Linked DNA regions of Ovis aries. The protein of the gene in region 1 purifies or fractionates together with the protein of each later gene. This does not show direct contact. Links are inferred from orthologs where the notes say so. Each region holds a gene or a part of one and is shown in the gene's direction. Other genes may lie near its edges. The genes, in order: MARK2, ARHGEF2, UTRN, MTCL1 and FUCA1.

Evidence for each region.
Region 2: the proteins of MARK2 (region 1) and ARHGEF2 purify together in Homo sapiens (affinity purification with western blotting; 3 studies listed by BioGRID and IntAct, with this or other methods). This does not show direct contact. The link is inferred for Ovis aries from reciprocal best matches to the Homo sapiens genes MARK2 and ARHGEF2.
Region 3: the proteins of MARK2 (region 1) and UTRN purify together in Homo sapiens (affinity purification with mass spectrometry; 4 studies listed by BioGRID and IntAct, with this or other methods). This does not show direct contact. The link is inferred for Ovis aries from reciprocal best matches to the Homo sapiens genes MARK2 and UTRN.
Region 4: the proteins of MARK2 (region 1) and MTCL1 purify together in Homo sapiens (affinity purification with mass spectrometry; 5 studies listed by BioGRID and IntAct, with this or other methods). This does not show direct contact. The link is inferred for Ovis aries from reciprocal best matches to the Homo sapiens genes MARK2 and MTCL1.
Region 5: the proteins of MARK2 (region 1) and FUCA1 purify together in Homo sapiens (affinity purification with mass spectrometry; 3 studies listed by BioGRID and IntAct, counting the BioPlex papers as one, with this or other methods). This does not show direct contact. The link is inferred for Ovis aries from reciprocal best matches to the Homo sapiens genes MARK2 and FUCA1.

Annotation. Positions count from the first base shown.
Region 1 is NC_056074.1:38,652,557-38,657,454, forward strand, and holds the start of MARK2 (serine/threonine-protein kinase MARK2), read left to right. Parts: upstream 1-1,584; 5' UTR 1,585-1,982; coding exon 1,983-2,036; intron 2,037-4,565; exon of another isoform or gene 4,566-4,745; intron 4,746-4,898. UniProt on the Homo sapiens protein: Serine/threonine-protein kinase. Involved in cell polarity and microtubule dynamics regulation. Phosphorylates CRTC2/TORC2, DCX, HDAC7, KIF13B, MAP2, MAP4 and RAB11FIP2. Phosphorylates the microtubule-associated protein MAPT/TAU.
Region 2 is NC_056054.1:105,989,743-105,994,000, reverse strand, and holds part of ARHGEF2 (rho guanine nucleotide exchange factor 2), read left to right. Parts: coding exon 1-108; intron 109-314; coding exon 315-440; intron 441-734; coding exon 735-852; intron 853-1,049; coding exon 1,050-1,298; intron 1,299-2,839; coding exon 2,840-2,916; intron 2,917-3,382; coding exon 3,383-3,552; intron 3,553-4,258. UniProt on the Homo sapiens protein: Activates Rho-GTPases by promoting the exchange of GDP for GTP.
Region 3 is NC_056061.1:69,059,774-69,064,031, forward strand, and holds part of UTRN (utrophin), read left to right. Parts: intron 1-734; coding exon 735-863; intron 864-3,080; coding exon 3,081-3,251; intron 3,252-4,258.
Region 4 is NC_056076.1:41,731,522-41,735,779, forward strand, and holds part of MTCL1 (microtubule cross-linking factor 1), read left to right. Parts: exon of another isoform or gene 1-777; coding exon 778-1,074; exon of another isoform or gene 1,075-2,638; coding exon 2,639-2,670; exon of another isoform or gene 2,671-3,519; intron 3,520-3,798; coding exon 3,799-4,258. UniProt on the Homo sapiens protein: Microtubule-associated factor involved in the late phase of epithelial polarization and microtubule dynamics regulation.
Region 5 is NC_056055.1:242,805,431-242,809,688, forward strand, and holds part of FUCA1 (tissue alpha-L-fucosidase), read left to right. Parts: intron 1-1,264; coding exon 1,265-1,399; intron 1,400-3,549; coding exon 3,550-3,687; intron 3,688-4,258. UniProt on the Homo sapiens protein: Alpha-L-fucosidase is responsible for hydrolyzing the alpha-1,6-linked fucose joined to the reducing-end N-acetylglucosamine of the carbohydrate moieties of glycoproteins.

The DNA of each region.
Region 1 (4,898 bases):
TCTGCAGACTCGCTGCTTGAGGTTGGTCTTTGGGTCTTGTGGGGATTCTGGCTTCTGTCTACCTTAAACTGCTGTTGAACCTAGGGTAGCTTTGAGGGATGGTTTTCCAACATGTCTGGGGTACAATGGGTGGGGACAGCCAGAGGAATCACACCTGCCGGTCTATTCACTGTCCTTGGTGAGGTAACCTAGGGGGAAGTGAAGAGTGAACTTGGATTGCCACATGGACTTCCTGTTAAAGTAAGAGGCTCTCCAGAGATGAGAGGGACCTCAAGCTTATGAATAGTGACCTCTATTCATTAATAGGAAAACAGGCCCATAAAGGAAAGGAACGCCTCCAGTTGTTCATTCTTTGTGCCATCCTGAAGAATCCTCATTTTTCAACCAGTTTCTCTCTTTTATTTTCCCCATGAGTTTCCTTGTTTTAGAAGGGATAAGTGAAATGTGATTAAAGATGAGAATGTCTCTCCTGCCCAACCTCAGAGGGATATTTAAAAAGGGAACTGGCATGACTCAATATTGCCATAGTGCAATGCCGTTTTGTGCTATTTTGAACAATTAGAAGACTTTTTTTTGAAAGAAAAAAATAAAAAAGGTACAAATCCAAAGATATTATTTAGAATGTCATCACGGGAACAAAGGCATGGATTCTTTCAAGATAGGGACATTGAGGAGCTAAACAGAGATATTATGTGATTTTTTTCCCCAAGATCCCATTGCATTTTCACTGCAAAGAGCTAGAGGTAGAATGCAGGGTTGAGGGAATCTCTGAAGACTTTGGCAGCTGGGAGCCAAGGACGTTTACCTGGTGTTTGCCAGGGACCTTGAGAAGCCCTGTGGATTAGATGTGGGGTACACGGATAGACAAATAGAAGCCAAGATGGACAACAACAGGTGATGAACGGTAGGTAGACAGGTAATAGACTAACGCTGCATCTGACAGGAGACTCACATGTTGATAGATAGGCTGGATGATAAACGAGATGTATTTAATGAGCTGACTAAGAGGAACGGACACACAGATAGGAAGTTGCTTTAGAACCAAACGATGTCAATACCAGGGCTTAACAGTTTTATTTTCTACTTAGTCAAATAGTAACACGCACACGTGATCTACGCTCCCTGGTCAAGATTTGCAAATACCCGAAAACTGACGGAAAGAAACGAAGAGTCAGACTTTGGGTACCATCCGAGGGAATGACCCGAGACTCGCCCGATCTCGGGTGTTGCCGGAAATGGCCGACGACCGCCGTCCGCGGCGGGGCGGGATGGGGGCGTGGCCCGCTCCCAGCGCGCGGAGAGGCTTCGGGTGTTTCCGGAAACTGCCGAAAACCTGCTTGAAGTGGGCGGGGAAAGGCCTGTAGGCGTGGCTGGAGTACCCGGAGTCTCTTCGTAGATTTCCGTAAACAGAGCCGAAGCTTGGTCTTCGGAATCGCGGAGCAGCGCGCGTCCCCAGGATTACCTTCTTCGGGTGTTTCCGGAATTCACCAGTAGTCGGTGGCTGGGAGGAGAAGGAGCGCCTCCCTCCCGTTTCTAGCCGCTTCGGATGTTTCCGGCTGCTGCCGGCGGAAAGAGCCGAGGACCGGCGGTGGTGGCGGCCATGTTGGGAGCAGCAGGTCCGGCGGCGGCTGCCTGTGTGCCGGGCGCGGAGCAGTGCCGCTGAGGGCAGGGGAGGAGCGAGGCAGGCGGCCGGCTGCGGCGGCAGAAAGTAGGCGGAGCGGCGCGGCCCGGCCGAAAGGCGGCACGGCCCAGCCGGGGGTCGGGGGGGTGCGGTCCGGAGCTGCTCGGAGCCGGCGCGGCCTAGCCCGAGCGGCGCATCCCCGGGCTGGCGTGAACGGCAGCCCGGCCTCCCCGCACCCCCGGCCGGGGCCCATGCGGCGGGTGCTCCTGCTGTGAGAAGCCCCGCCCGGCCGGGCTCCGCGCCTTCCCTTCCCTCCCTTCCTCCAAGCTTCTCGGTTTCCCTCCCTTGAGATACCGGCGCCATGTCCAGCGCTCGGACCCCCCTACCCACGCTGAACGAGAGGGACACCGAGCAGGTAAGGAGCCCGGAGGGCTCCCCACATTCTTTGGCTGGGCCCCTGCACCTTGCAGAGCCTCCTCCCTCCTCAGCTCTCTTCGTGCCCCGGCTGCCAGCCTGTAAGCCTCGGCTGCCCTGTCATCTGGCTCCTGGCCCCGTACACCTCCCTTCCGCGTCCTGTCCGGGGACCCACCTCGTCCGGACTCCAAGCTGCACACTTGTCTTTCTGCCGACCACCCCCCTCCCCCTGGCCCTTCTCCCTTCACCGCCCTCCTGCGCTCTTCCGTGTTACCTCCCCAGCTTCCTCTTCTCTTCCCTTTTTCTCTCAGGGGCCTTTTTGGTCTTCCTCCACCCACGCTGAAAGCAGCCACCTTCCTGCTCCTAGACCAGCACCCTGCGATTCGCCCCAGATCGTTGTCCACCTCTTCCTCCATCTCTCCAGCCTCGCTTCCCCTCTGCCCGCACCGGTTCTCCCAGTCCCAGTTATCACCCTCAGGGTCCTTGCCCCGGACTGTGACCTCGATCCCTGTCCCCTGTCAGTTCCCCGGCTTTTTACCCTGCCTCCTCCTGTTCCACATTGTGCTCGCCCTCTTGCTTGCAACCCACCAGCTCCACCCTCATCACCTTTCCAAATCGCTCGCCTACTCTTTGCTCATCACTTTCCCTTCTCTTCTCCAGGAGCTCCCTGGTGCCTCGCGCTGGCATTTGTTGCTTCCGTGTTTCCCCGTACAGCTGTCATGCGCATAGTTTTCCCACAGGTTGTCTTCGGGGTTCCAGTCTTCACTCCCTTCACGCTCCCGAGATCCCTCACGTTCTCTTCCCCTGGGGCTTGTTTTTTTAAGTTTTGGCTTGGCCTCCTGTTTCTCACTGCGAGTGCTGTACCAAGCCTTCTCCCTGGGCTCTTCCTGCGGAGGGAAAGACTCTCTATTTCAGCCCTGCTCCATTGACACCACCTGTTGCGCGGTCCTTTCCCAGGCCTCGCTTCATCCTGGTCCTCCCGGTTCTGTCTTCTTACACCATAACACAAGCCGGGCCGTTATGCTTTCCTGTTTCTTCACTCAGGACCCTGTCTCTTAGTATCTTCCCCTTTGCTTGTTGCCTTCCCGTTTCTCTGCCCTCACCCCATCTTTCTTAGTACCATTCCTCTTGATCAGGATTGCCTTTCATCTCCGTACTCTTTGCCAGCCTTCTTCACATCATATTTATTCCCCCCACGTATGCCCCTGTCCATCCGCTTGTGGTCGGCTAGCCTTTGTGACTCCCAGGGCCAGGAATTTTGCATGCTGATTTCTTGAGCTGCTCCCTCTCCCCTCATCCTGGCAATCACTGCTATCATTTGTCACCCAAGCCTTAGCCTTTCTGTGTCATCTCACCTTGCAGCCGAGAGGCGTCCACTTTCCCCCCCTCCCCTTTCTTTCACCATCTCTGGTGTCCCTTGCTGCCTGCTCTGGAGAGTCCTCTGCCTGTCACACCTTTCCTGGTGGAGAACTTTACTAGGCAAAAAAAAAAAAATTAACTTGAAAAAAGAGCTCTTCACCCCTGGGGCTTGCAGTGCTTTTTTGGGTCCTTTTCTCTTGTTGCATCCATTATGTTTTCCTCTTGTTCCCTTCTTTCTGGCTAGTGCAATAGAACCATTGTTATATTCTCTTGCATATTAATACCTCTTGCATATTAACATTAACATCTTAAAATAAATCTTTCCGCTTTTCATTTTTCCAGTGTTTTTCTCTTTTGTTAGCCCCTCAGTCTCTGTCATCTGGACAGTCAGGACCTTAAGAGGAGTTCTGGATAAGTTTTTTCTGCAGTGGTTGACCCTTTCATAACCTGTGGATGGCCGGACTGCTTCTAGGGGGTGAAACAGGTTGAGAGGGCGAGATGGTTGAGTTCCACTGTATCACTGGGTTTGGCATGGGACTGCGGTCTTTAGAAACAGGAGCATGGTCTCCATCTCAGTCTTGCCCTCAAATGCCAGCTGTTTCTCTTCTTCCTGGGAACCACTTTCTCAAGGCCCTCTCGAGGTTACCTATCACAACCTTTATTTAGCACATAAACCCTGCTTAACCAGAGGACTTTCCCAGACTGTTGAGTCTGAGCTGGTAGGAGGAAGCCAAGTGACTGACTGGCACCCGCAGGCATCTGGGGCGTGGCGGTGGAGTGCCTACTCTCTCAGCAGGGCTGTGGGGGGCATTGTGTTCAGCAGAGCAGAGTAACTGAGTGCCTCAGTGTGCTTTCTTTGTGTTGTTTACTCGGTGTACATGTATTCTTGCCACGGTCTTCTTGTGATGTGTGCATTGATTTCCTCTCTTCCCTTCAAGCCTCACACACACCTGAGCATGTTGCAGGAACCTGGTGCTTGCCTCCCACCGATTTTATGATAGCCGAACTCTGTGAACCATTTGGGAATGTAAGGTGCTACTTGATAACTTTGTCCAGAGAACTGGCTGCATACGTTGTCATCTTGCTCCAAATTATGAATTACTCATCCTGTTTCCAGTCTGTGTATTTAGGTTCCCCCGAGCCACTTCATCGCTTCTGCTGTTATTCTCAGGGTAGTCCCACTACGGACTTGATATTAAGTCTTCGCCTTGAAAAAACAAAGATTTTGAAAAACCTTACAAGCAGATGTGGTATTTTTTAAAACAAGAAAAAAAAATGTAACAGCTCTTCGAGTCATAAGGCCAGAGAGGCCTGAAGCACTGGCCTCTTTTGGACTATATCATGCTACCAGGTGAGACCAGTAAGCTCTTCTTGGTCGTGTTGTGAGTTTAACTAAAGTGGTTGTGGTAGAAGCCTTAATGTTGCGAGATAAAAAGCAAGGGATGTGGTTGGGTTGGTTTCTTTCCCCGAAAGGTCCTCTGTTACCTTACTTAGATTTAAATTA
Region 2 (4,258 bases), on another chromosome or scaffold:
CACACGCGCTTCCTCAGCCAGCTGCTGGATCGCCGGCGCCATGCCCTATGCCCTGGTAGCACCCGGAACTTCGTCATCCATCGCTTGGGGGACCTGCTCATCAGCCAGGTGAGAAAAGCCAGGAGCCCTGGGCAGCAGTCTTGGGCGGGGGTGTGACTAGAGTGGGCATTTCTCATCTCCAGACTCTGGGGGGTGGGGCAGAGAGAGTTGGAAAGGCAGGAAGCCAGCCTGTTTGGCAGGAGGCGAGAGGGCATTGGGGATGAGAGGTGACTTTGGGGGACATGCTGACCCAGCCTTGCTCCCCCAACTTCTAGTTCTCAGGTCCTAGCGCAGAGCAGATGCGGAAGACCTACTCAGAGTTCTGTAGCCGCCACACCAAGGCCTTAAAACTCTATAAGGAGCTGTATGCCCGAGACAAACGCTTCCAGCAGTTCATCCGGGTGAGCAAACCTCTCCAAGACCCACCCTCCGCCTCCTGTAGTGCCCCAGCCCTAGTGGACACAGCTGCTCGTTTTTCCAGGGGTAGAGCGAGTGCTCTCGCTCCTTGGGTCCTCACAGTAAACCTGTGACCTTGTCGGCCCCATTTTCCAGAGTCATTAACCTCCCGCCAGCCAGCATGAGGTAAATGACCAAGTGCAGGCAGGCACCAGGGCTTAGGCTCCAAGTCCAGCGTCCTTTCTGGTGCCCTCCCCGCGGGTGCCCCTCTGGCACTGAGCCCTGACCTCGCTTTGTAGAAAGTGACCCGCTCGGCGGTGCTGAAGCGGCATGGGGTACAAGAGTGCATTCTGCTAGTGACTCAGCGCATCACCAAGTACCCAGTGCTCATCAACCGCATCCTGCAGCATTCCCACGGTGAGAGGGCGAGTCCAGGCGGGAGGAGGAGGGAGAGGGCTGTCAGGGGTGAGGCGTGGCCCTGGACAACCACCGGGAGGAAGAGGGTCACATATGGAACCCTGGGCAGCCTCTGAAGGCGGCATTGAGATCAGTGGGTTGGGGACTGGCGTGAAGCTGGCTGGGCCACCCCTTCCTCACGCCGACCTCGGTGTCAGGGATGGAGGAGGAGCGCCAGGACCTGACCACGGCCCTGGGGCTGGTGAAGGAGCTGCTGTCCAACGTGGACCAGGATGTGCACGAGCTGGAGAAAGGGGCCCGCCTGCAGGAGATCTACAACCGCATGGACCCTCGGGCCCAGGCCCCGGTTCCCGGCAAGGGCCCCTTTGGCCGAGAGGAGCTCCTGCGGCGCAAGCTCATTCACGATGGCTGCCTGCTCTGGAAGACTGCGACTGGGCGCTTCAAAGGTCAGTGGACAGCTTGGCAGACCAGGCAAGAGTCCATGGCCAGAGGGAGAAGCCTCCAAGCCCATAGGACCTCTTTTAATGTAGCCCTGGTGAGACCCAGTGGGAGGAAAATATGTGAGCTCTGTTGTAACAAAAGTCAGAATTCTGGATTTAATTTCATGGGCGATACAAGGACTTCGTTGTCAGGATTTGTTCATTCCTTTGGTCCTTGCATGCCCAGAAAGCTACCGATTTTGATGAGAAAAACAGAGAAATTCCAGGATTAGAGGACTAGCCCCTGGTAATTGGTTCTACCAGCTGGAGTCCCAGCCACTAGGGCTGGGGAATGGGCAGGCACTTTGGGAACACAGCTGAGGAAGGCCCTTGGAGGGGGTGGAGCCCAGGGAAGGGCGGGCCAAGTGGAGAAGAGAAAAGACTGCAGGGAAGGTGTGTTCAGGGCGGGGCGCACTGTCCCAGCCTCTCTTCCCAGACTATACTGGGCAAGGCTTGCCTACCTAAATCAAAGCAGAAGAGTCGCAGACCTCAGCTTTAGGTGTGAGGAATGCTACCTGAGGCCAGAGCTTGCCTGCACCTCTGTCCCGTGTCGTGAAGTCCCCACTCCATAGGCTTGAGTATTGCAGGCTTTGCCAGCCACTTTCCTCCATCCCTTTCTCTCCTTCCCATCCCTCCCACGCAGCAGCTAAGAATATAAACCATGGGGGGGTTAAAAATAGCAAGGCTGAAGAGCTTTATTTCTGAAGCCTTTAGCAGAAGCCCTCCCCTTCTGTGTGCCCACAACTTAGAAAGATCTCCAAGGGCAGAGGATGCATGTGTTTTCCTGACTGTGACATCTGACTTTCATGGGTTGACCTTTGTCTCCCCCAAGTCTTAAAGCACAGGACCCCGTAGAATGTGAGGGCCTTGAAGGTGGGGCAGAAAAGGAAAATGAAAGCAGGGCCTGCTGTTGTTGAAGGAGATTGGGATTGTTCAACAGTGGGAGAAATGAATAAGGAACCTAACTGTTCCCCTCCCCATGGAGCACAAAATAAGAAGTGGGGAATATGCTGGCATGGGGGGAATCTTAGACCAAATATCCAAAAAGATCTTATGTCAGTTGTTCAACATGGAACTGAAAGGCTCTGGGAGTCGTTTTACCCTCACAAGAATTCTGGACCCTTTCACACAGAAAAACACACGTGTGATAGATTAATATGTAAAAATTGCTTATGGAACTTTAGAGGATCTACAGAGCCTCTGAAGCGTGATAGCAGACAACCTAGGTGTCGGCAGACCACAGGCTAAGGAGCATTCATTGGATAAAGAGGCTTTTATTCAAGGCCACTGGGTGATTGCTTATAGGCATCTCTAGCCCAAGAAACTGTTTTGTCTGATGACACATGTGTCCCCCCCGCCCCCCACCGTTTCTGAGCTGTAGGAATGGGGAGAGGTGGGAGGTCTGCGAAGGGGGAGGAAACAACCAGAGGGAGAGAGGTCGGGGAAAGGGAAACAGCTGCTCGCATCCTCTAACGCTGACTCTCCTCCTGCCTCCATCCCCCTGCCAGATGTGCTCATGCTGCTGATGACAGATGTGCTGGTGTTTCTCCAAGAGAAGGACCAGAAGTACATCTTTCCTGCCCTGGTGAGACCTTCCACCTTCTTTCTCAGCATAGACAAGTGTTTCAGACCCTTCTTACTTTCCTACCCTGGCCAGGAAATCCTCCAACATCAAATAGCTATTATTGTAACCACTGCCGTAATATAATCAGGAAAAATAAGAAGAGCCAATGCATATAAATATGATCAGAAGGAATAAGAAGAGCCAACGCATATTGTTACTATATGCAGCCACTTTTTTTTACACGTGTTAGGAAGGCACATGATTATCCTCTTTTTGTAGATGAGAAAAGTAAAGCTTAAAGTTAATTAAATTGTCAAAGGTCACAGACGTTTCTCTAAGTCCACTCTGGCTGGCACCAGAGTCTGAGCTCTTAACTTATATTCTCGGCTGACTCTTCAATCCTTTGGATACTCCAGGAGGACTGAAGACTCAAATATCCAGGGGTCAGGATTCCCAGCTTTAATCCTTCCTGTGCCCCAATTGGCAGGACAAGCCCTCGGTGGTGTCACTGCAGAATCTCATCGTGCGGGACATCGCTAACCAGGAGAAAGGGATGTTTCTGATCAGTGCGGCACCCCCTGAGATGTACGAGGTCCACACGGCATCCCGGGATGACCGGAGCACCTGGATCCGCGTCATTCAGCAGAGTGTGCGAGTGTGAGTGTGTGCATGGACTTGTGGTTCCTGCAGTTTGGGGCGTTGGACCACAGCACTCCCAGGGAACAGAACCCAGGGTTCAGAAGTGGAAGGAGAGGCCAGGAGAGAGACAAGATGGCCCAAGGCAGGCAAGGTCATTTATGTTCTCTTGCCCGGTAAAGTTGCATTTTATACAGTGACAACCCCAACCGCCTTCTGAATGCACCATGAGCTGACAAGCCAAAGGAATACTTTAAGTTGGCACGTGCCGGCATGCCTGCCAGTCAGCAGTACAGTTTCACCTCCATTAACATCTTAGTCTGTAGGCAGTGGGCCATTATTTGGACTGTATTGTCTTTCACCTTCATTTTCTAAAAATGAATGAAAAAGAGAATAATGAAAAAAAAAAGAAAAAAAGGATAATGAAAGCATTGATACTAGTGATCAGAGGGGCAAGACTGAAACAAACTCCATACGATAGAGGCTACAAAGAAATCATTTTGTGTGCTAAAGCAGCAAATCTCTGGCTTCTGTTGGACACACATCAGATCTGAGTATGTGTCTGTTGTGATCAAAGAAAGTAAAGGGGCTTCCTTGGTGGCTCAGACGAAGAGCTGCCTTCAATGCAGACAAAAAGTCAAGTGCATGTAAAATGTCGAAAATGGATTCTCAGGCTTCCCTGGCAGCTCAGTGATCAAGAATCCTCCCGCCAGTGCAGGAGACACAG
Region 3 (4,258 bases), on another chromosome or scaffold:
AGGAAATATCACTGAGATCTATGCCAAGTGTCTTATTAAGTGCTGATGGTACTGAGGTGAAAAGACATGGGCCCTGCCTCAAGCACTCAAGCTTTGAGTAGGCAAAATCTATTCAACCATATTTGAAATGCTTTTTTACTAGTACTTAAATGCTGCTGCTGCCTTAAATGAGTTCTTAACTAATATGATCAAGGCAGGGCCAATAAGATTATTTGTAGTATATGAATGAGAAATAGGGATTAAAATAAAATGAAATTTATAAAGAAACTTTTTGCCTTTTAGTCTTCAGTTTTTCATTATTTTGAGGTCTAAATTAAAATGAAAAAGTACCCAACCACAGCTGTGCTTCCTTGGTGGCTCAGATAGTAAAGAATCTGCTGGCAATGTGGGAGACTCAGGTTTGATCCCTGGGTTGGGAAGATCCCCTGGATAAGGGAATGGCTACCCACTCCAGTATCCTTGCCTGGAGAATTCTGTGGACAGAGGAGCCTGACAGGCTACAGTCCATGGGATTGCAAAGTCGGACACGGCTGAGTGACTAAAACTTTCACTTTTACAGCTGTGCATTTTTTGGAATGATATTTATCCACTGCGGAAGAGCTTTGCAGGAAGGTAGAAGTTCTTCTTCAAATTCAGCATTACTTAGGTGTTTGAAGACCTTTTAAATGTCTTCAAAGATTATTGTCTTAATTATTTCATATGGTTGTATCAGTGTTTTATTAATTCCTTTCTAGAACCATCAGAACCAGTTGGAAATATTTGATGGCAATGTTGCTCACATAAGCACCTGGCTTTATCAAGCTGAAGCACTATTGGATGAGATCGAAAAAAAGCCAGCAAGCAAACGAGAAGAAATTGTGAAGGTAGCAGATCAGTAACACTTCTGAGAATGGAAGGTTTAGCTATCTCCTTTGTCTTGATGAATATTCCAAGTTACTTGCACACATGTGTTTCTCGTGCAGATTTATTAACTTTTATGTTGGTGGGATAAACAAAATGAGTCGTTTTGTTTGTTTTGGTTTTTGTCTTAGCTAAATTTTTGTTCCATTCCTCTTAGGTAAGAATTGGCATCTAAAAGTGCCACATTATGGGGCTGTTAACATAATTTTTCCATTGTAATTTAATAAGCTGGGAAGACAGAAAATACTTCATTTTGTCATGGTGCATAGTTGAATGCTGCATCATTAGTTAACAGCAGAAGTGCAGTTTTAGTTATTTTTTTCATGACTTGCAAAATTTGGTGGCACTACAGAAAGTTGGAGCAAAACAGACTTCATAATGAGTAATTGGCTTTCATTTCTTGGTACGTATTCCCCACTGATCCAGCTTTTCAGAGGAATCTGCTGTGAAAGAAAAGATAGTATGTTTTTTCAGAAGTGCCGTATGGCAGACTTCTTCACTTTGCTCAGCTTCTTGATACTCTTATGCACTGGTGATAAGCAAAGAAGAACTTGTTGTCTTGGGAACTCCAGAGTCTCAGAAAATTTCTAAGAGTAGCCCTTATTCTTTCCTGTGTTTTTACATTTTGTTTCAAAGTTGAAGGTCAGACCTAACTTTTAAGAATTCCCCCTGGGAAATCTTTTCTATCTACTGCTCAGGCCCCACCAATCCTTCTTTGGAACTCTCTGACGCATCAGATATGGATGAACAGTTGAATTCTGGGTTACAAATATACTCTCGAAACATTTTGCAGACATCACTGAATGAATCTTTTTTTCCCCTTCACGTTGTTTATCGATGCCAGGAAACACTGCATAATTAAAGATTTGATGAGGAACCTGCAAACAATAAAGAATGTGTCTGTTGCCAGCAAAATAACAATTGATTCAGGTCCTTTAGATGTTACAGAGCTTTTTTCACACCAGATGGTTTATATGAAACAAAACCATTTTAGAGTGTTTTATTATGCATCTATAAACCTTTAAAGAATGAGATAGTTTCCTTTCTTCACTACATTTTCTTTATTTCCTGGACTACACTTTTAGTGAATTTATTAAATTTATTACATTTATTAGATCACTAACATATGTTTAGCATACCTTTAGACAATTTTTCATGAAAGCCAAGACCTATCTGCCAAGTGTTTCTTTCTTTCCGCTTGATTTTTCTTAAAGAGAATTTCAAGAATCTCTACATAACTAGCGAAATTTGAGACAAGCAGTGGCTGTTTTTTTTTTTTTAATATGACAATCAGATTTAGATGCAAGACAACACATTCTAAAAGTTCCATAGTTAAGCTGATGTTCTCCTGTTTCTATCTGCATACACTAATTTAAAAACTACTTCCTCAAACGACTTAATTTCTCTCAGCCACCATAACAAGCACAGATTCTTCAGAACAGTGGATTAGGCTCCATGTCTTAGATCACTGAGTGCCTTGTGGTATCGTTCATTCTTGTAATCACAAGGAAAACATTTGCAGAATTTATAGATACATACAGATAAGCGGGTACTCAAAAAGTACTCATAGCCATACTCCTGAGAGAATTCCAGCACTCTTCAAAAACTTATGAATGAAGTAGGAATTGAGGCAGGTATTTGCATCCCTTTCTTAGGCCTGAAAATGAATTTAATGACCATTATGAAATTAGCCAGAGGAGACTGCGTAATGTTCTTGTACATTTTAGTTAAAAACTAAATGGTAATATTCAATTCCCTTCCAAACCAGTTTACCTTCACCAAGGAAAGGGGGATGGCGGTAAACAAGATTTCTAGGGGGAAAAGAAGTTAAAGTCTGTTCCTTGCTACTTAATCTTTTATCAGCCTCAAGAAACTTTGCAATTCTTAGAATAAGATGGTTGAGGAAATGACACAATAAATCTTATAGACTATTCAATTATAAAGTAAAGTTTTATATAAACTGGGAGTAGTTTAAAATGCTTCCTGTATAGCATGAATGAGTCTCTGTCTCTCTCTCTCGTTAAATATATGAACAGCTCTTATTCAAATTGATGGTACAGAAGTCTCTTACTAGAAGTCTCAGACATTTGTTTAAGCTCCCTTTACTTCCCAGTTAGCACTGCACCCATGTTTGGTTTTGATTTTTTCCATGTGATTATTTCGTGCTTTCTTACAATTAGCGTTTACTCTCTGAGATGGATGATGTCAATCTCCAAGTACAAAACGTCCGAGATCAAGCTGTTGTTTTGATGAGTGCACGTGGAGGCTCAAGCCGGGAGCTTGTAGAACCAAAATTAGCTGAATTGAACAGAAATTTTGAAAAAGTCTCTCAACACATCAGAAGTGCCAAAGTAAGTAATTATGTTTTTATATAAAACTATTTTCTTGTAGATATGTAGCTGAATGGTAGATAGTTACATGGTGCTCGTGCTAAGTTGCTTCAGTCGTGTCCGACTCTTTGCGACCCTATGGAATGTAACCTGCCAAGTTCCTCTGTCTATGGGATTCTCCAGGCAAGAATACTGGAGTGGGTTGCCATGCCTTTCACCAGGGGATCTTCCCCACCCAGGGATTGAACCCACGTCTGTTTTATCTACCTGTATTGGCAAGCAGGTTCTTTACTGCTAGCGCCACCTGGGAAGCCTCAATTATATGGTATATACAACAAAAAAATTAAACAAAAATGGTTTTATCACTTTTCTTTGATTGAGCATTCGTTCTTATTTATGATTGTCCAAATGAAGGAGAGAATCTAAGAAATTAGTATTAAAGAAAATAACCCATTTGAGAAAAGGTTTCAAGTATTCAAATTATCTAAGAGGAGGGTCCTCTTTTTTTGTAGGAAGTAAATATTCTCTAACTTTGCTTTGTTTTGAAATATCTGATGTTGTTGTCATTTAGTCGCTAAGTCCTGTCTGACTCTTTGCAACCCCATGGACTACAGCCCACCAGGCGTCTCTGTCCATGGGATTTCCCAGGCAAGGATACCAGAATGAGTTACCATTTCCTTCTATAGGGGATCATCCTGCCCCAGGAATCAAACCTGGGTCTCCTGCATTTGCAGGCAGATTCTTCCCACTGAGCCACCAGGGAATCCCAAAATATCTGATATAATAGGCCAAACTATCTCTCATAGCCCAAGAATATATTTAGATTATTTGCAACTTAAAGAAAACAAACAAAAATCTTGCTTTAACTCTTGCCTTCCTTACCTTGTGACCTAAGCTTACTTATTTAGTCTTTTCAGTAGCTCTATAGGAGATTTTTCTACAAATGTAAAAGAGTAATATAAGAGACATAAGAGGAGGATTGAAAGAAAGTACGAAGAAAATGATTATTTTTCCTGTAAATAATTTGT
Region 4 (4,258 bases), on another chromosome or scaffold:
AGGCCCGAGGGGAGTTGGTGGTAGTCCCCTGATGAACCACTGGCCTTTAGGGTGGGCCTGGCCCTGCAGTCCTCCGGCAGCCCCAGAGGGGAGGCACCCACCTTATAGGTGGGGACACTGAGCGAGAGGACTAGCCACATACAGCAGCTCCAGTCTCCTGTGGTTTCCACCTACTGCTTCTATTTACCAGGTCAGGGAAGAGTACGACTCCAGTCTATGTGGCTCACATGCTTACTTCTTAGTCATACAAGATCTTCAGGTTACCTCGGTAGCTAAATTTTCATCCTCTCAAGCAAAGTGTGAGCTGTTTTTAACACCCAGTGGTTGTAACCCAGGCGATCACGCAAGGTTTATGTAGGACCTATTCCAAATAACTTGGACACCATGCTCTGTTGTTAGGAAACCTTGCTATTTAAGAAAACCAAATTCACCCCAGAAGTCTGCTGTCACTGATGGCTTTCCACTGAATGTGTCTTACATTCAGAAGGTAACTACAAAAAGGGATTTCTCAATGTGTCATTTGGCAATGTTAGATTTTAAAAACAAATGTGTGATTTCCTGTGAGCACAGCACTCAGTTATACATACAATAACATTCGCTACAGAAGCAGCTGACTTGCCTGTGGTTAATGCAGATATTTCTAGTCCAGATAATTTTCCAAAATTGTGACTTTTTTTTAAAGCACTTGTGGTGTTATTTTTTAAATCGATGCCAGAACTTTAAGAACATAAGATGTCTATCTTCAGGCTAATTGTTTTCACTTTTAAAACCCTCAAGTTGCAGAAAGAAAACAGTCCCCGGAGAGGTGGCAGTTTCCTCTGTGATCAAGAGGAAGGGGATGCCGGCTCCTGTACCCACCCAGGGAGCCCTCGGGCGCCCCGCCCTACAGGGATGTGGCCCTGTATGGACACAGACTCCAATGCGTTTGAGGACCGGCCGCTGTCAAAGCTGAAGGAATCGGACAGGTGCTCAGCACGGGAAAATCTCTACCTGGACACCTTGTCCCTGGATGATGAGCCAGAGGAGCCCCCGGCCCACGGGCCCCAGAGGGAGTTCAGGAACTGCTTCCATGAGGTCAGCTTGGGTTTGGGTCTAGTCACCTGCAAAGGAGGGTGAGGGGTTGGGAAGCTGGCTGAGTAGCTGACAGGCTGCATTGCAGGCTCTGCATATTGTGGCCCTGAGGTTAGTAAAAGTGAACCTTCCATGATGTGAGAGCTTTGAGGTGGTCCTGACCCCAGGCTTCCTGCTGCACTTGGCCGCTTAATCTCAAGGTCAGAAATTCAGAGCCTGTGTCCCATGTGAATAGGAGTCTCAGGAGCAGGAGTCGTCCAGTGAAATCCAGGAGGAAAAAGATGATCCCAGAAGTGGAGAACTGCTGATTTCCTTAAAATTACAGCACAGTCTCTGATTTCAGAAAACATATTAATAACAGAAAAGTCTTTTTTTAAAGAAAGTACTTCACATTGGAAGTAGCAAATGTCAGTAACCAATGACATACAATAAATACCTTCTTTATGTAAAGAGGGGGAAAAAATCCAACACTAGAAAGCTATGGGACTTAGATCAGTAAAGGGGAAAGCTTAGCTCTGTGCAGAAATCCCTACAGGATGGCAGTGGGTTTTCCTAAAGACTAATTTTAATAATCATTCCCTGTGTGCTGGTCTCACAGTAGCTGCACCTGTCATCTGACCTGTCCCACATGCTCAGCAGATGGGGGTGCCCGTCAGGCAGTGCTGCTGGAAGTGGGGACCTCCTCCTCGGCACCTGAACCCCAGCAGAGGTGACATCACCAGCATGCCACCCTAGGGGTCTCTAGTGGGAGTGTCCCGACCCCATGCTGACCAGTGCAGTAGCCAGGGCTCTCTGGGGGATCCTTGAGGGGTTTGCTGGCTGGGGCCTCACTCCATCTGGACTGGGTCCGCACAAGGGTATCCTCTGCTCAGGAGAACCATGTATGCAGTTCTCTTTAGTGGAAGTCACTATAGCTTTCCCAATGCTCAAGGGCGACGTTTAAACACCAAGAGCGCTCTATCTAAGGACATCACACTTTTTTTTTCTTTCATTTTTTATTGCAGTACAGTTGGCGTACAATGTTAAGTTGCAGGTGTACGACCTAGTGGTTCAGTTCTTCCGGGTTATATACTCCATTTACAGTTATTATAAAATACTGGCAGCATTCCCTGTGCCATTCAGCATATCCTGTAGCTTGTTTATTTTCTATGTCATGTCTGTGCCTTTCACGCTGACTTCTCTAGTCAGGCTGAGGCCAGGGGACGTCTACCCCGACTTACCCTCCTCCCAACCCTTACTCCTCCTCTCTCACTTGCACGCACTCTCTCTCACACACATGTCATTAATGAGGCAGCTTTGAGGCCCTCACACACAGCACTGCCCTCTGAGAAACACAGAAGAGCTGCCTTGGGGCAAAGCTTACTGCCAGTGTTTCTCACTCACGTAGGCCCTCCCTCATCGCCTCTGGATTCTGGTGTCATTACTGACCTTCCAAGGGCTGAGGGGCAGAGGCACTCCTGGCCCAAACTTGGCTTCCACGTACGTTTTAAGAGAAAAACAGACCCCTTAGCAGCCCCAAATCTGCCAGTACTGACTGATTCCAGTGAACTTATTTTCTTCTTTACAGGAAGAAGACAACCACAAGGGAAATCTTCAAAGGTAAGTAAGGTTGATGAAATGACAATAGACTACTGCAGGAAAGACCTCCTGGTCTTAAAAGTCTATCTATCTATAGTCAGCAGTGCACTGTGACTCTCTTCAAAAATGACTTAGAGTAAAACTTGTGGAGAAGTAGTTGCTTTATTATACGGTATTTAGATCGTTAACAACGAAAAGGCCAGCACCGTGTTCATATGTGTTACTGTTGTGCAAGAGCTGTGTATTTAAGGGGATAACTGTGTTAAATGGTTTTTGAAAAGTTCATGGAAACCCCTCTCTTTTGATTTAAAGCCTGGAAAAAACTCTCTCTTGATATGCTATGAGACATTTTAGACTGACCGTTTAAAAGCTCTCCTAGGAGGACTTATTACAGTATTACCAAGAGTAATCCTTGAAGTAAATATAAAGTAGCTGGTGTTTGTAATCATTTTCTAGTAACCCACATATGTAAGGGTGGGACATGTCTGAAAAGGCCCATATAAGCAAATTTGTTTAAATGGAGCAGAAGGCAAGGGGAGGAGTGAGCCCAGAGGGGACGTCTGTTTGAAATGGTGTTGGGATCATGCACCAGCCTGAACACCCCGTCCACTGCCCTTGGGAGACTGGTAGTGCTTGAGCTGACAGAGGTGAGGCGAGCGGGTAGAGGGGACATCAGCTGACAGTTACTTTGTGGTGGCCTCTCCTCCTCCCTGCCACGCCTGTATCTGGGTTGGACTGTGGTGTAGTCACGTCTGCTCTAAGGCGAGAACTCAGGAAACTCCTGCAGATTTGGCATCAAGGGTGCTTGTCAGTAGACGGAGAGGCCAGGCCACAGCCAGGCTTCCCGTCTTCCTGTGGAGCTGCTGCAGGCTGAGAACAAAACAGTGCGGAAGGGACTTGGAGCTCAACTCCAACTACCCTGGAGCACCACGCCCACCCCCACAGTTTTGAGAGTCAGCCGTAGTAAATTCTGACCAGTCCAAGGCTCCTGCATCAATTTCAGAGCCATAAAAACCCAAAGGGTCAGCCCGAGCAGAGACCGTCAGCACAGTGCACATGGGCAGGCCGTGGGCTGTGCTGGGTTGGGGGTCTCGGGGCCATGGCTCCCTAGCTGGTGACAGCTCACACCGCTCCTCTCCCCTTCCCCAGGGCCGTGTCTGTGTCGTCCATGTCTGAGTTCCAGCGCTTGATGGATGGCTCTCCCTTCCTGCCAGAGAAGGGCCTGCCCCCCACATGCAGCAAGGAGGACGTCACCCCACCCTTGTCCCCTGATGACCTCAAGTACATCGAGGAGTTCAACAGCAAAAGCTGGGACGACAGGCCTCTAGACCCCTGGGCGGACAGGACCGAGGTGGGGCGGACACGGCCCGAGGCCAGCACCGAACCTTTCTCTGATGCCGCCTGGTACCTCACCACAAGCATCACCCTGACCACGGACACCGTGACCAACCCCGAGCACTGCCAGAAGCAGCCCCTGCGGAACTTCGTCTGTGCTGAGCAGGCTGGGGGGAGGGGGCTGCACAGCCCACCTGCCATCCGGAGGCTGGATGGCATTGTGGCAGGGGTCGGCGAGAGCAGGGTCCGAGGGGGCCCTGCGGATGCCAAGGGA
Region 5 (4,258 bases), on another chromosome or scaffold:
TGGTGGCCCATTTTGGTGATATGCACACTGTTACTTCTGTTATTTCTGTTTTTTTTTTAACAACTGTATGTTGTAATTAAGTTAAATTATCTATTAAATATTGAAATTGGTTATCGTGTATGTAACCAATACACGACCAATATCGTGTATGTTTCTTTTGTTAACAAATCCTTCAAACCTAAAACAAAATTAAAACTTTCAGCGAAACTCAACCGATGTATGAAACAGGGTGCTCAGGGCTGGTGCACTGGGTTGATCCTGAGGGATGGGGTGGGGAGGGAGGTGGGAGGGGGCTTCAGGATGAGGAACGCATGTACACCCATGGCTGATTCATGTCAATGTGTGGCAAAAACCACTACAATATTGTAAAGTAATTAGCCTCCAATTAAAAAAACCCAAAACTCAACCTATCATCACATTCAAGTGACTTTTTAAAAAATGTAACAATGTTTCCAATCCCATATTTTGAATATGAGTGTAATACCATATGCCATAAAAAAATTATAATGATTCATTCATCAGTGTATAAGCTATGCTATCATGAAGCCATCATATTGATTGCATTAGGCTACTATAAAGCAATCATGTGGCTGTTTCTTCATTATCAATGAATGAATCATTATAACTACAAATAAATATGAATTGCTTTTTCACAGTAGCTTTCCAGCTTTGATATTTAGCGTTAGTAACAGCTAACGTCTGCAGTGTTTTGTATCATGTAAGACAGTATTGCTGTAGATACTGACAGGTGGTTCATCTTGTAAACAGACAATGTAAACTTCTGGTATCAATAAATACAGTACTCTGCCCAATCTCCAACTAACGCAACATTGTAAAGCAACTATACTCCAATAAAATAAAAAAATAAATGCAGTGCAGTACTATAATGCATTTTCCCTTCCTTTTGATTTTCTTAACATTTTCTTTTCTCTAGCTTACATCATTGTACAAATACAGCAGATTATACATATAACATACAAAATGGGTGTTATTCGACCATTTATGTTATCGGTAAGCCTTCCAGTCAAGAGTAGGCTATTAGTAGTTAGGGCAAAGTCAAGAGTTACACATGGATTTCCTTCTGCGCAGGGGTCAGCAGACACCTGCTAACCACCCCCTAACCGCCATGTTGTTCAAGGGTCAGCTGTACATTTCCTGTAGTTGAGTTCCCTCAACCATTTTAAAAGCCTCAGGCGTGCCAGGTAAGTTGGTGCTCATGGCCCACTGCCCACTTCCTTGGCTCATATGGTTTCAATGTCCACAGGTATGTAGTCCTGACGACAAAGCATCACGAAGGTTACACAAACTGGCCAAGCCCTGTGTCTTGGAACTGGAACTCTAAGGATGTGGGACCCCATCGTGATTTGGTTGGTGAGTTGGGAACAGCCATCCGGAAGAGGTGCGTGTCCACGGACAGCCACCCCATCATCGCTTTTGATCTAACCACCCAGTACCCCGTGCCTTCCCTACACTTCTGTGTTTTCTAAGTTTGCACTTAACCGGTACATGGGAGGGCTTCTGGCCCTGAATTGGCAGTGTTTGAACCTTGGCAGTTTCCATGTGACCAGAAGTGACGGCATCAGAGAAGTGCACGGCCGTCTCTGGTTTGGTGAAGGATACCCAGCATAGACCACAGCGCTGCACTTGTGCTCTGCAAAGGATTCTCTCTGGGAAGCCTTCCAGCCTAGGGCCTTTCCCAGTGTCTGGTGGAGGCCAGGGTTGTGTCTCATCTTTGTGTCCTTAGCTGTCAACCCAGAGCTTTGTAGGCTTTCCTGGAAGGTTTAGATGGGGGGTAAATGAGGAGAGAGCTGAAGAGGGCAGTTAAAGCAACAAAAAGGGAGGTAAGGCATCACTCGTGATTCTAGGTAATATTTTCTAATATCTGCCACTTAAGATGTAACTTCCCAAGGTCAAAGAGCTGGGAAGGGGCAGAAGTGGGATTTGAACCCAGGTGTTCTGATTTTGGACCCTATTGTTCTGAGTATATTTGCCTGTAAGGAGGAAAAGTGGTATTTGTGTCATGCCCACTCAGCTCTATTGTGATTTGGCAAACTTGAAGTCCTGTTTAAGGGGTAGACCAGCTAATTATTTGTATAAATAAAGTTTGATTGGAATACAGTTGTGTTCATTCACTTAGGGATTGATTCTGGCTACTTTCAAGCTCTAATTGCAGAGTTGGGGTAGACATAGCAAGGCCTGCTGCTGCTGCTGCTAAGTCACTTCAGTCGTGTCCAACTCTGTGCGACCCCATAGACAGCAGCCCACTAGGCTACCCCGTCCCTGGGATTCTCCAGGCAAGAACACTGGAGTGGGTTGCCATTTCCTTCTCCAGTGCATGAAAGTGAAAAGTGAAAGTGAAGTCGCTCAGTCGTGTCCAACTCTTCACGACCCCATGGACTGCAGCCTACCAGGCTCCTCCGTCCATGGGATTTTCCAGGCAAGAGTACTGGAGTGGGGTGCCATCACCTTCTCGGATAGCAAGGCCTACAAAGCCTCAAAGTTATCTGGTCATTTAAGAAAGCATTTGCTGACTTATGTCACCTGTGAAACATTCAGGTTCCCAATGCTGTGCTCTGCTGATAATAGTCCTGCTGTAAAAGTCTGAGACATTGATTAGATCTGAATTCTAAGAGCCTTGATTTTCACCTTCTCTGTATCTAGTCAGTCACTGAATCACATAATGAAATTCTTAACTTCAGTTCTTTCTGCTTTATCTATGCCATTGCAAATGTTATCGTTACTTCTTGTATTATAGCATTTCCAAAACACTCACTCTTCTTAATTCACAAGTTTTATTGTATATGAAAATAGGTAAATTTAACCATATTTTGTTTCAGGTATATTAAAAACTATTAGTAAATCTTATATGAAACAATAAACCTATATTCATTAATTTCAACTGCACAGAAAATGGTACTAGTGATTCTTTCTGAGTGATGAGATTTTGGATATTCTTGGTATTTGTCTCTATTTTCCAGTATCTCTTCAATATGTATTATGATTAACAGAAAACATTTTTAATAGTACTATAAGTTATTGAGATAATTGACTCAAAAGACAGAAAATGGTTTAAATAACATTTTGGTGTCAAGATAATTTATGTATAAAGATAATTTGTTATCTGCTAAGTCAATTCAGTCATGTCCAACTCTTTGTGACCCCATGGACTGTAGCCCGCCGGGCTCCTCTGTCCATGGAATTCTCCAGGCAAGAGTACTGGAGTGGATTGCCATGCCCTCCTCCAGGGGATCTTCCTGACCCAGGGATAGAACCTGTCTCTCTTGTGTCTCCTGCATTGGTAGATGAGTTTTTTACCGCTAGCGCCACCTGGGAAGCCTAATTTGTTATTTATATCATCAAAAACAAAGTAAGCCAATCATTTTGCTTAAGTGAATGATAAGAGATAATTTAAGGAACTGGCTGTGGGTCCTGACCCCTGTATGCCCTATGGATAAATTTCACTGAGATGTAAAAATTCTGGCAACTGATTTTTCTTAAAATATTTTTTCTTTGCTTAATGACAGTTGCTGTCCTGTTTTTCTGTTTCAGGGACATACGCTATGGACTATATCATTCACTTTTAGAATGGTTCCATCCTCTCTACCTACGTGATAAGGAAAACGGCTTCAAAACACAGTCCTTCGTCCATGCAAAAACAATGCCAGAACTCTATGACCTTGTTAACAGGTACAAAACAGAAATTGTTTTAGCCTTATGACTTTCATCAGTGACATCTGAGCTGCTTATACTGTTGAGGGGAAAGGGGTAGGGGTGGAATATGAAAAAACTCTAGAAGACATCAAAACAGTAATGAGTAATCATTGTGTTAAGACAAAGTATATTTTTTCTTTTTTCTTTTCAAAACTTCCATAGTATGGTCATGCTGCTTTTATAAACTGAAACAGAACTGAGGATGGTAGTAAGTCAAAACCTCAGGTAACTCCTTCCATACCACTTTCTGTCAGGAGCTTGGAGAAGGGCAACATGGTCTAATGGACCCTACAGAGGGTTTGGCGTCTGGCAGATTCGTAGTTGAATCCTGGCTCTTTTCCCCTCAAGCATTTTTTTGGCTGTGCCATGCAGCTTGTGAAAAGGATGGCTTAAAACTCAACATTCACAGAACTAAGTTCATGGCATCTGGTCCCATCACTTCATGGCATATAGATGGGGAAAAAATGAAAATAGTGACAGACTTATTTTCTTGGGCTCCAAAATCACTGCAGGTGGTGACTGCAGCCATGAAATTAAAAGACATTTG